Linked DNA regions of Canis lupus familiaris. The main gene of each other region encodes a partner of the protein of the gene in region 2 in a complex. Links are inferred from orthologs where the notes say so. Each region holds a gene or a part of one and is shown on either strand. Other genes may lie near its edges.

Region 1 (3,563 bases), on a different chromosome or scaffold from region 2:
AGGGCAGGGCCAGAGATGTCATGGTTCCCACTGTGTCCCCAGTACAGGGCCAGGCACAGAGGATTTTTTTTTTTAAGATTTTATTTATTTATTCATGAGAGACAGAGAGAGGCAGAGACACAGGCAGAGGGAGAAGCAGGCTCCCTGTGAGGAGCCCGATGTGGGACTCGATCCCGGAACTCCAGGATCACACCCTGAGCCAAGGGCCGACGCTCAGTCACTGAGCCACTCAAGCATCCCAACTTTTTTTTTTTTTTTAATTAAGTAAAATTGAATATGTGAATTCATTCATTTGCCTATTTTTTTTTTAAATTTTTATTTATTCATGATAGGCACACAGTGAGAGAGAGAGAGGCAGAGACACAGGCAGAGGGAGAAGCAGGCTCCATGCACCGGGAGCCTGACGTGGGATTCGATCCCGGGTCTCCAGGATCGCGCCCTGGGCCAAAGGCAGGCGCCAAACCGCTGCGCCACCCAGGGATCCCTCATTTGCCTATTTTTAAGAAAAATTTTATTTGTATTTATTCATGAGAGAGAGCGGCAGGGAGAGAAGCAGGCTCCCTGTAAGGAGCCCAGTGTGGGACTGGATCCTGAGACCCCAGGATCAAGACCTGAGCCGAAGGCAGATGCTCAACCGCTGAGCCACCCAGGCATCCCCACCTGTGTTTTTGGTTTTTTTTTTTTTCAACAAATGGGTCCTGCCCAGCACTGAGGAAGTGGCAGAAACCAAGAGGGACCCCATTCCTGATCTCCTGGCAGTTACACTGTAGAGGAGAAGACAAGTAACAAAGACTCAAATAAAAAAGATAATTCCAGAAAGGGATACTTTTTCACAAGAAAAATGTTGCCATGTTGGAGCATGCCTGCAGTGGCCAGGATGGCCAGGGAAGCCCTGAGGTGCTGACATTTGAGCTGAGTTCCAAATGACCAAATGGAACCAGCTGCCTTGGGAAGCTTTTCAGGCTGTGAGGCCAGCAAGTACAAAGGCCCTGGGGTGGAGTGAGCCTGGTGGTTTTTGAAACTTAGGAGGCCTGTGAGCTAGGAGAAAATGGGTCAGCGTGGCGGGTTCTCGCAGATAATTTTGGACTCCGGAAGGAGTATGGGGAGCTGTGCAGGGCTTCTGAGCAGGGCAGGGATGTGACCTGAATCAGAATTTTACAGGGTCCCTCTGCTTCTGGGAGGGGAGCAGGGGCAGCAAGAGCTGGATGCCCAGTGAGGTGACTGCAATGGTCCAGGCTAGAGGTGATAGTGGGGGAGGGAGTGGGGGCAGTGGTCAGATTGCAGATAGGCTTTGGAGGCAGAGCTTGACCCATGGCTTAGATACCATGATCATGGAAGGCTCCAGGCTTTGGCTTGAGTGGTGGTGTGGGTTCTTAGAGCCTTGAGAGTGTCTGAGGAGTAAACCTTTAGTGCTCTCTGCTCATGATGCTCCCTGAGTGGATGTCAGCCCTGGGAGAAGCGGGCAGGTTGGGGTGTACTTTGGACTCCCAAAGACTGGGTTTTAAGCTTGAGCAACTGGTGGTTGGCCCCAATCACTAATGGGGGGAGGAGGTAATAGACAAGTGGGCTTGGCTATGACCGGTGACCTGGAATCTCACCCGGTTGTAGGTTTCACCATCATCATCGAGCCCTTTGATGACAGGACCCCCACCATTGCCAACCCCATCCTGCACTTCAGGTGAGACCCAACCGCAGTGTGAGGCTGTCAACAGACCACGGGGGCCCAAGCATGGTCCTCACCACCCTCCTCTGCTTCCTATAGCTGCATGGATGCTTCACTGGCCATCAAACCCGTGTTTGAGCGTTTCCAGTCTGTCATCATCACATCTGGGGTGAGGACCCTTATCTGCCCTAAACTCCCAGTCCTCTACTATGGGGATCCTGGTTTCTGCCCGGTCCTGCTAAGATCCCTCCTGCTGTCCCTGCTATAGACGCTGTCCCCACTGGACATCTACCCCAAGATTCTGGACTTCCACCCCGTCACCATGGCAACCTTCACCATGACGCTGGCCCGGGTCTGCCTCTGCCCTATGGTGCGTGGGAGAGGGTGGATGCTGGGCCAGGGGAGATGTGTCAGCTCTCGTCCTCCTGTTCCCTCTCAGGCTGCTCAGGCAGGAGAGTATTAGCCTGAGGGCATAGGCTTTGATTCAGATAGATCTGGGCTTGATGCTACTGCTTCCTGTGGGTCTGACTCCCCAAGCCTCAGTTTCTAACCTGTAACATGGGGATGCATCCTCCCTGACCTCCCAGGGCGGTTGAGGTGATAGTGAGATAGTGGATACAAGATGCTTATGTGGCCCAGAGCCTGGCACCAGTCGGCCCTCAGTCAGCATCTTGGTTAATGTGGGCTTTGCCTGGTTCATCATCTGGTCATGACCTTGATGATGACCCTTCTCTGCCTCAGCCTCCTTTGTAAAACAGGCATCGTAACATGAGCCCTTAATTCCTTATCTGAATCCCTTGGGCCAGATGTATTTTAGAATTGAGAATTTTCCAGATTTTAAAGACAAACCACATGCTGTACAGTATGTGACATCCCCAGTGGGGTCTGGGCAGCTCCCTCCAGTGAAAGTTTTATTTCAGCAGGAACATGTTTTGAAACGTCAAACTAAGGGAGGTAAGTCAGGACTCTGAATAGACTCAGGTCAGGGCAGATTTTGCCACTATAGGAGTTTGCACCAAACTTAAATATCTGGAGTTCCTTGGGTCTTGGAATTGCCCTTCAGGGGTTGTGGACTGGTGACGGCCACATTCTGCATCATGGTTTTGTGGAGTTGCTGGGGGGGGGGAGGGGGGGAAGGGGAGGTGCACCTGTGGCTGGCGGTTGGTGAGGTTGTGGTGGAACCCTTTCTTCTGGAACTGTGTGGCTGGGAGGCTGAGGCCAGTAACACATATTTGCTGGTTAGCAACACAGACAGACTTGGGTTCAGTGTCGGCTCTGCCCTTGATTTGCCACGTGACCTTGGGCAGGCAGGCAGCTCACATCTGGGCCTGAGGTCATCCATCCGTGCAGTGCAGATAACAGGGGAGCTGAGGGTTCACTCAATGACATTGTGTCTATAAAAAGCTCAGCCTGGCACCGGCAGGCAGCTAACGCATCAGAATGGTGCTGTTTGCTTATCGTTTGCTTATTGTGACGTCTGTTGCTCTCTGCAGATCATTGGTCGTGGCAATGACCAGGTGGCCATTAGCTCTAAATTTGAGACCCGGGAAGATATTGGTATGCTGCTCATGGTGGTTTGTGTGGCTCCTGAGAGGGGAGGTGTATCAGTGGGCTAAGTCATGCTGCAGTAACAAACATCCCCAAATTACAGTGGCTTGACACAGAGGTTACTTTTTGCTCACAGTATGTGACACTGTGGACTGGTGGGGGCCTGCCCCGTGGTTTCTCACTCCAGGAACCCTTACCACGTCCCCTAAATTGTGACGGCAAGGATCCTGGTAATGGTGCTGGGCCTCACGAGGGTTTACCTGGAAGTGACACATAGCCACTTCATGCATTTCATTGGCTAGGTCGAGTCACATGGCCACGCCTAACTTCAGGGGCGGGGGGTGGGGTGGGG
Region 2 (4,335 bases):
ACGACGTGCTCTGGGACCAGCTGTCGAGAGGGGAAACTGAGTCTGTGGGTGTGACAGGCCCCACGGCGCCCCCACACGGGAAAGGGGAGCAGAGCGCCACAGGCTGTTTCCTTGGAGTCAACCATCCACCCAAGGGTCCCAGCTGCCACCCCACCCTGCTCCTGACTCCACGCCTGGGGGGAAGGAGCTATGGCCTGCAGGCGCCTGGGGGGGTATAACCTGGAGAGTGCAGGGGCCCCTGGACAGACCCCACCCCCTGCCCCCCAGCTGCCTGACTGCACACCTGGCAAGTGCCCAGGGCCTCACTGAGACTCCGGCTCTGCTTCCTCCTCCCCACAAAGTGGGAGCAGCGGCACCTGGTGCGTCCCCAGGCCCTCCCTGTGCTCGGGCAGGTGCCACCTCACCAGCCGTCCAGCCTCCCCTCCCGCAGACCCCCACTAAGGCCCTCACCTCGTGCTCCGTGATGTTGATGAGTAGCTCCTGCTGCAGAAACTGCTCCAGGATGTACTTGGGGGCCATGTCAACCAGGGACTGAAAGAGAGGCTGACCCTCACGCACAGCCAAGGCCCAAGACGCCGCCACCCCACCTCTCCCAGGGGCTGAGGGCAGGTGGGAGCCAAAGGGGGTTCCCACGTGTCAGGTCAGTAAGGCTCCTCTGGGAGGAAGAGACCACCCGACACAAACTGTGACACCTAACAAAATGCTCCTGCAGTTGTCCCTGTGCTGGTGTGACGTAGAGAACCCTGCAGGGACGAGCGCACAGAGCTGGCCCTCCGTCCCAAACAGCAGCCCCTCCTCGGACCTGTTAACCACAGGAATGCTGGCACCCATGCAGGGCACCTCCCTGCTCTGGCTTCTGCCCACACGGGAGAGCCGCTCCTTCTCAGATCCCCAGATCCTGGGGCCCATGAGGACGTGCGGCCAACACGAGCAGCGTGCCCACCTGCTTGGCGGAGGGAGTCATGCCCTGCTGTACCACAATGAGGGCCCGGGTGATGTTCTCCTCCTGCATCCGCTGGCAATACACCTTGATGGTCTTGATTCCCACTTTAGGCTCCTCTGGGGACAGAACACACGAGGTCTACACTGCAAGAGTCCCTCCTGCCCCAAGGGCCCTGCTCACTCACCTGCTCGTTCACTTCCACCCTGCTAGGCGCGCGGGCTCCAGCTTGACCTTGCCAAGGTGTAGCAGTGCCTCTCTGGACCAGCTCCCTCTTTCTAGGGCCCCAGGGAACCCACCAGGGTGCCAGTCCTCCCCCCCAGCCCCCACGGAGCTGATGGGTGCCCTGCATCTACCCACTTGGTGGATCCCTCCCTGGAAGCTGAATCTGGGGACCTACGTGGTGCAATGTCTGGAATCCCCAGATGAAGCAGCTGACCTGAAGGACCAAACCCCCTCCCTGCACAGCCACGGTGGGAACCCTCACGCTCACCACAGTACAGGGGCCAAGACCTGCGGGACCCTCTGAGCCTGGTGGAAGGTGAGCAACTGGGTGCCTGCTGCCAGGACGGGTGCGTGTGGTGCACCACATCTGCCCCATCACAGCACTCCCCTCGGACCCTTGCTCACCTGACGGGCAGCGTCAGGGACTGAGCTGTTTCCCACGGAATCCCCGTGTTACAATCCTAACCCCCGAGACCTCGGGTGCAACCGTACTTGGAACTGAGGTCTTTAAAGAGGAGATTCCACCAGGTTGTCAGGATGGACCTCAGTCAGACACAACAGCACAGACACACAGAGGCACGACCTCGGGAACTCATGGAGAAGACGGCCACCGGCACGCCAGGGAGAGGCCTCAGGGGGACCCAGCCCCGTGCACACCCTGGTCTCAGACGTCCTGCCTGCAGCCCCGGAAGAGGTCAGGCTGCTGCTGAAGCCGCCCGGTCTGCGGCGCCCAGTCGCGGCGGTCCAGGTGGACCAGCACGGCCGCTCAGTCCCATTCTGTGGCCCACTGGAGCACACGGGCGCCCCGGGCCCACTCCAGGGAGGGCCCTGCCACAGGCCGACCCACACACGGGGACGCTGTTTGCACGAGCACCAGGAGGGTCCCTCCTGCAAAGGTTTCCGACGCCCTTGCTTCTGGGCAGGGGGCTGGGCCCCCCGGGAGGCCTGCGACAATCCGGCTGCACTGAACGAACAGTCAGCGGGGAACAGAACCCAGGGCTCCCATCAGCACCCCGTGGCACCGTGCGCAGCAGGCTGGGCACTCGGGAGGGCGGGTGTAGACACCGTCCCTGGATGGCTGCACGAGGGCTGCGGACTCCTAGGGGTCACGCAGCCACCCAGGACCCACGCGACCCTCACCTGGAAAGAAGACAAACATCTGGTCGGTGGGGTCGTCGTTGTGGGCCACCAGCACCGTGAGGTCCGTGCGCCGGGGCCGCCCCTCGCTCGGCTTGTCCCCAAACTGGGCCTTGAACTCTTCCAGCGTCTGGTCCAGCTCATCCTGCGTCACCAGGTAGCCGCGGTCGTGGCACAGCTGCAGGGAGCACCAGCCGGGTGACCCCCGGGCTCAGAGGGCGGGGCGGGAGGGGCGCGGCCGGATGACGTCACCGCGGAGAAGGACGGACAGGGCCGCGGCCCGGCGCCTCCGAGCGCGTGGGGACCGCACAGGAAGGGGCCGCAGAGGCCGGGACGCACCCGCCGAGCGCGCCCGGAAGCTCCGAGCTGCGCCCGCCGCCGCCCTGACCGCGCGGGCTCACCTGCATGATGGTCTTGCGGATCTTCCACAGCCGGTACGTCTCCTCCTCGTCGTCCATGGCGGCCGCCGCTCGCAACCCGCGCGCCTGAGCCCGCGGCAGGGGCCCGCGCTGACTGCGCCTGCGCCGAGCCCTGCCAAGCCCCGCGCGGGGCTGCCCACAGCGAACGCCGGACTCCAGAGACCTTCGCGGGCGGCAGCGCCGAGGGCAGCCCGGGCCTTCTGCGAGCGGCGGTGGGCGGAGCCAGAGCCGAGCGAACGGGACCGCCCACTCTCGCCTCGGCAGTTGTCGCGGGGTTTCGGCCGCGGGGCCTGTCGGGAGTTGTGGTTTCCGCCCGATGCCCGTGTGGGTGGGGAGTTTGGAATCCGGAAGGGCGGAGGCGAGGTGTGGGCGGGGAAACTGAGGCCAGGGTGGGGTCAGCGGTCAGCTCGCCTCCCCGGGGCGCAGGGCATGTTGTCAGGCCCCCCACCAGGTACGCATCCCGCTGCTGGGCGTCGCCGCCGCCTTACTGCGCAGCAGCCTCGGGTCGCCCGGGTGGCTCCGTGGCTGAGCGTCCGCTCGGGGTGTGATCCCCGCATCGTGGGCTCGAGTCCCGCATCGGGTCCCGCAGGAGCCTGCCTCTCCCCCAGCGGTTCTCAGGAGTAAATAGTCTTAAAAAAAAAAAAAAAAAAAAGAAAGGCAGCCCGGGTGGCTCAGCGGTTTAGCACCGCCTGCAGCCCAGGGCGTGACCCTGGAGACCTGGAGTCCCACGTCGGGCTCCCTGCGTGGAGCCTGCTTCTCCCTCTGCCTGTGTCTCTGCCTCTCTCTCTCTCTCTTTCTCTCTCTGTCTCTCTGTCTCTGTCTCTCGAGAATTAAAAAAAAAAGCCTAAGCAACGGAGCCCCCCAGGCACCCCCTCCGCCAGCCCGTTTTTTCTTATCTGCCGTCTACACCCGTTTCTCCCTAGTCTGTCCGCCCTGGGCCGGCAGCTCCGCTCCTCCGTCCTGCCCCTTCTCCACATCCTGTCCATCCTGTCCGACTGCAAACCCTCCACCTTCAGAACTGCAGGCGCCGACGTGAGCCCCCATCTGTGGCCCTCTCCCTCCTCTCCCCCTCCCCCATCTCTCAGCTGAAATGCAGCAACAGCAAAGGAAAACCCCGGCTTTTCAAGGCAATCAACGAGGCCTCCCAGGTGTGCCCCAGGCTTGCCCCACGACAGCCTCTGACCTCCCCTCCCCCCTCCCCCGGGGCCTCCTGCAGCCAACGCAGCAGGCAAAGTGCAGCCCCAGGGCCTTTGCACACATTGCACCCTCTGGTGGATACGCCCTTCTTCTGACATTCCTACAGCTGCTCCCTCTCCTTTGACCTCTTCCTGCCAGCCCTCTCGCTCCCTGCCTTCCCTGAGTCCCTTGATTGTTTTGTTTTTTTTTAAGATTTTATTTATTTATTCTGAGAGACACAGAGAGAGAGAGAGGCAGAGACACAGGCAGAGGGAGAAGCAGGCTCCACGCAGGGAGCCCGATGTGGGACTCGATCCCGGGTCTCCAGAATCACACCCTGGGCCGAAGGCAGGTGCTCAACCACTGAGTCACCTGGGCGTCCCGAGTCCCCCTGTTTGAAACCGAAAACCTCCCATCTACTTCTTCCATCACCCTGTC

The links.
Region 1: POLR2E (region 2) and ERCC2 share a complex: the UniProt entries of both Homo sapiens proteins name them as parts of the TBP-based Pol II pre-initiation complex. The link is inferred for Canis lupus familiaris from reciprocal best matches to the Homo sapiens genes POLR2E and ERCC2.

The regions. Positions count from the first base shown.
Region 1 is NC_049222.1:110,896,039-110,899,601, forward strand, and holds part of ERCC2 (general transcription and DNA repair factor IIH helicase subunit XPD), read left to right. Parts: intron 1-1,608; coding exon 1,609-1,678; intron 1,679-1,762; coding exon 1,763-1,832; intron 1,833-1,931; coding exon 1,932-2,033; intron 2,034-3,156; coding exon 3,157-3,220; intron 3,221-3,563. UniProt on the Homo sapiens protein: ATP-dependent 5'-3' DNA helicase. Component of the general transcription and DNA repair factor IIH (TFIIH) core complex, not absolutely essential for minimal transcription in vitro.
Region 2 is NC_049241.1:58,128,332-58,132,666, reverse strand, and holds the start of POLR2E (DNA-directed RNA polymerases I, II, and III subunit RPABC1), read right to left. Parts: upstream 2,838-4,335; 5' UTR 2,761-2,837; coding exon 2,704-2,760; intron 2,481-2,703; coding exon 2,306-2,480; intron 1,060-2,305; coding exon 944-1,059; intron 532-943; coding exon 451-531; intron 21-450; coding exon 1-20. UniProt on the Homo sapiens protein: DNA-dependent RNA polymerase catalyzes the transcription of DNA into RNA using the four ribonucleoside triphosphates as substrates.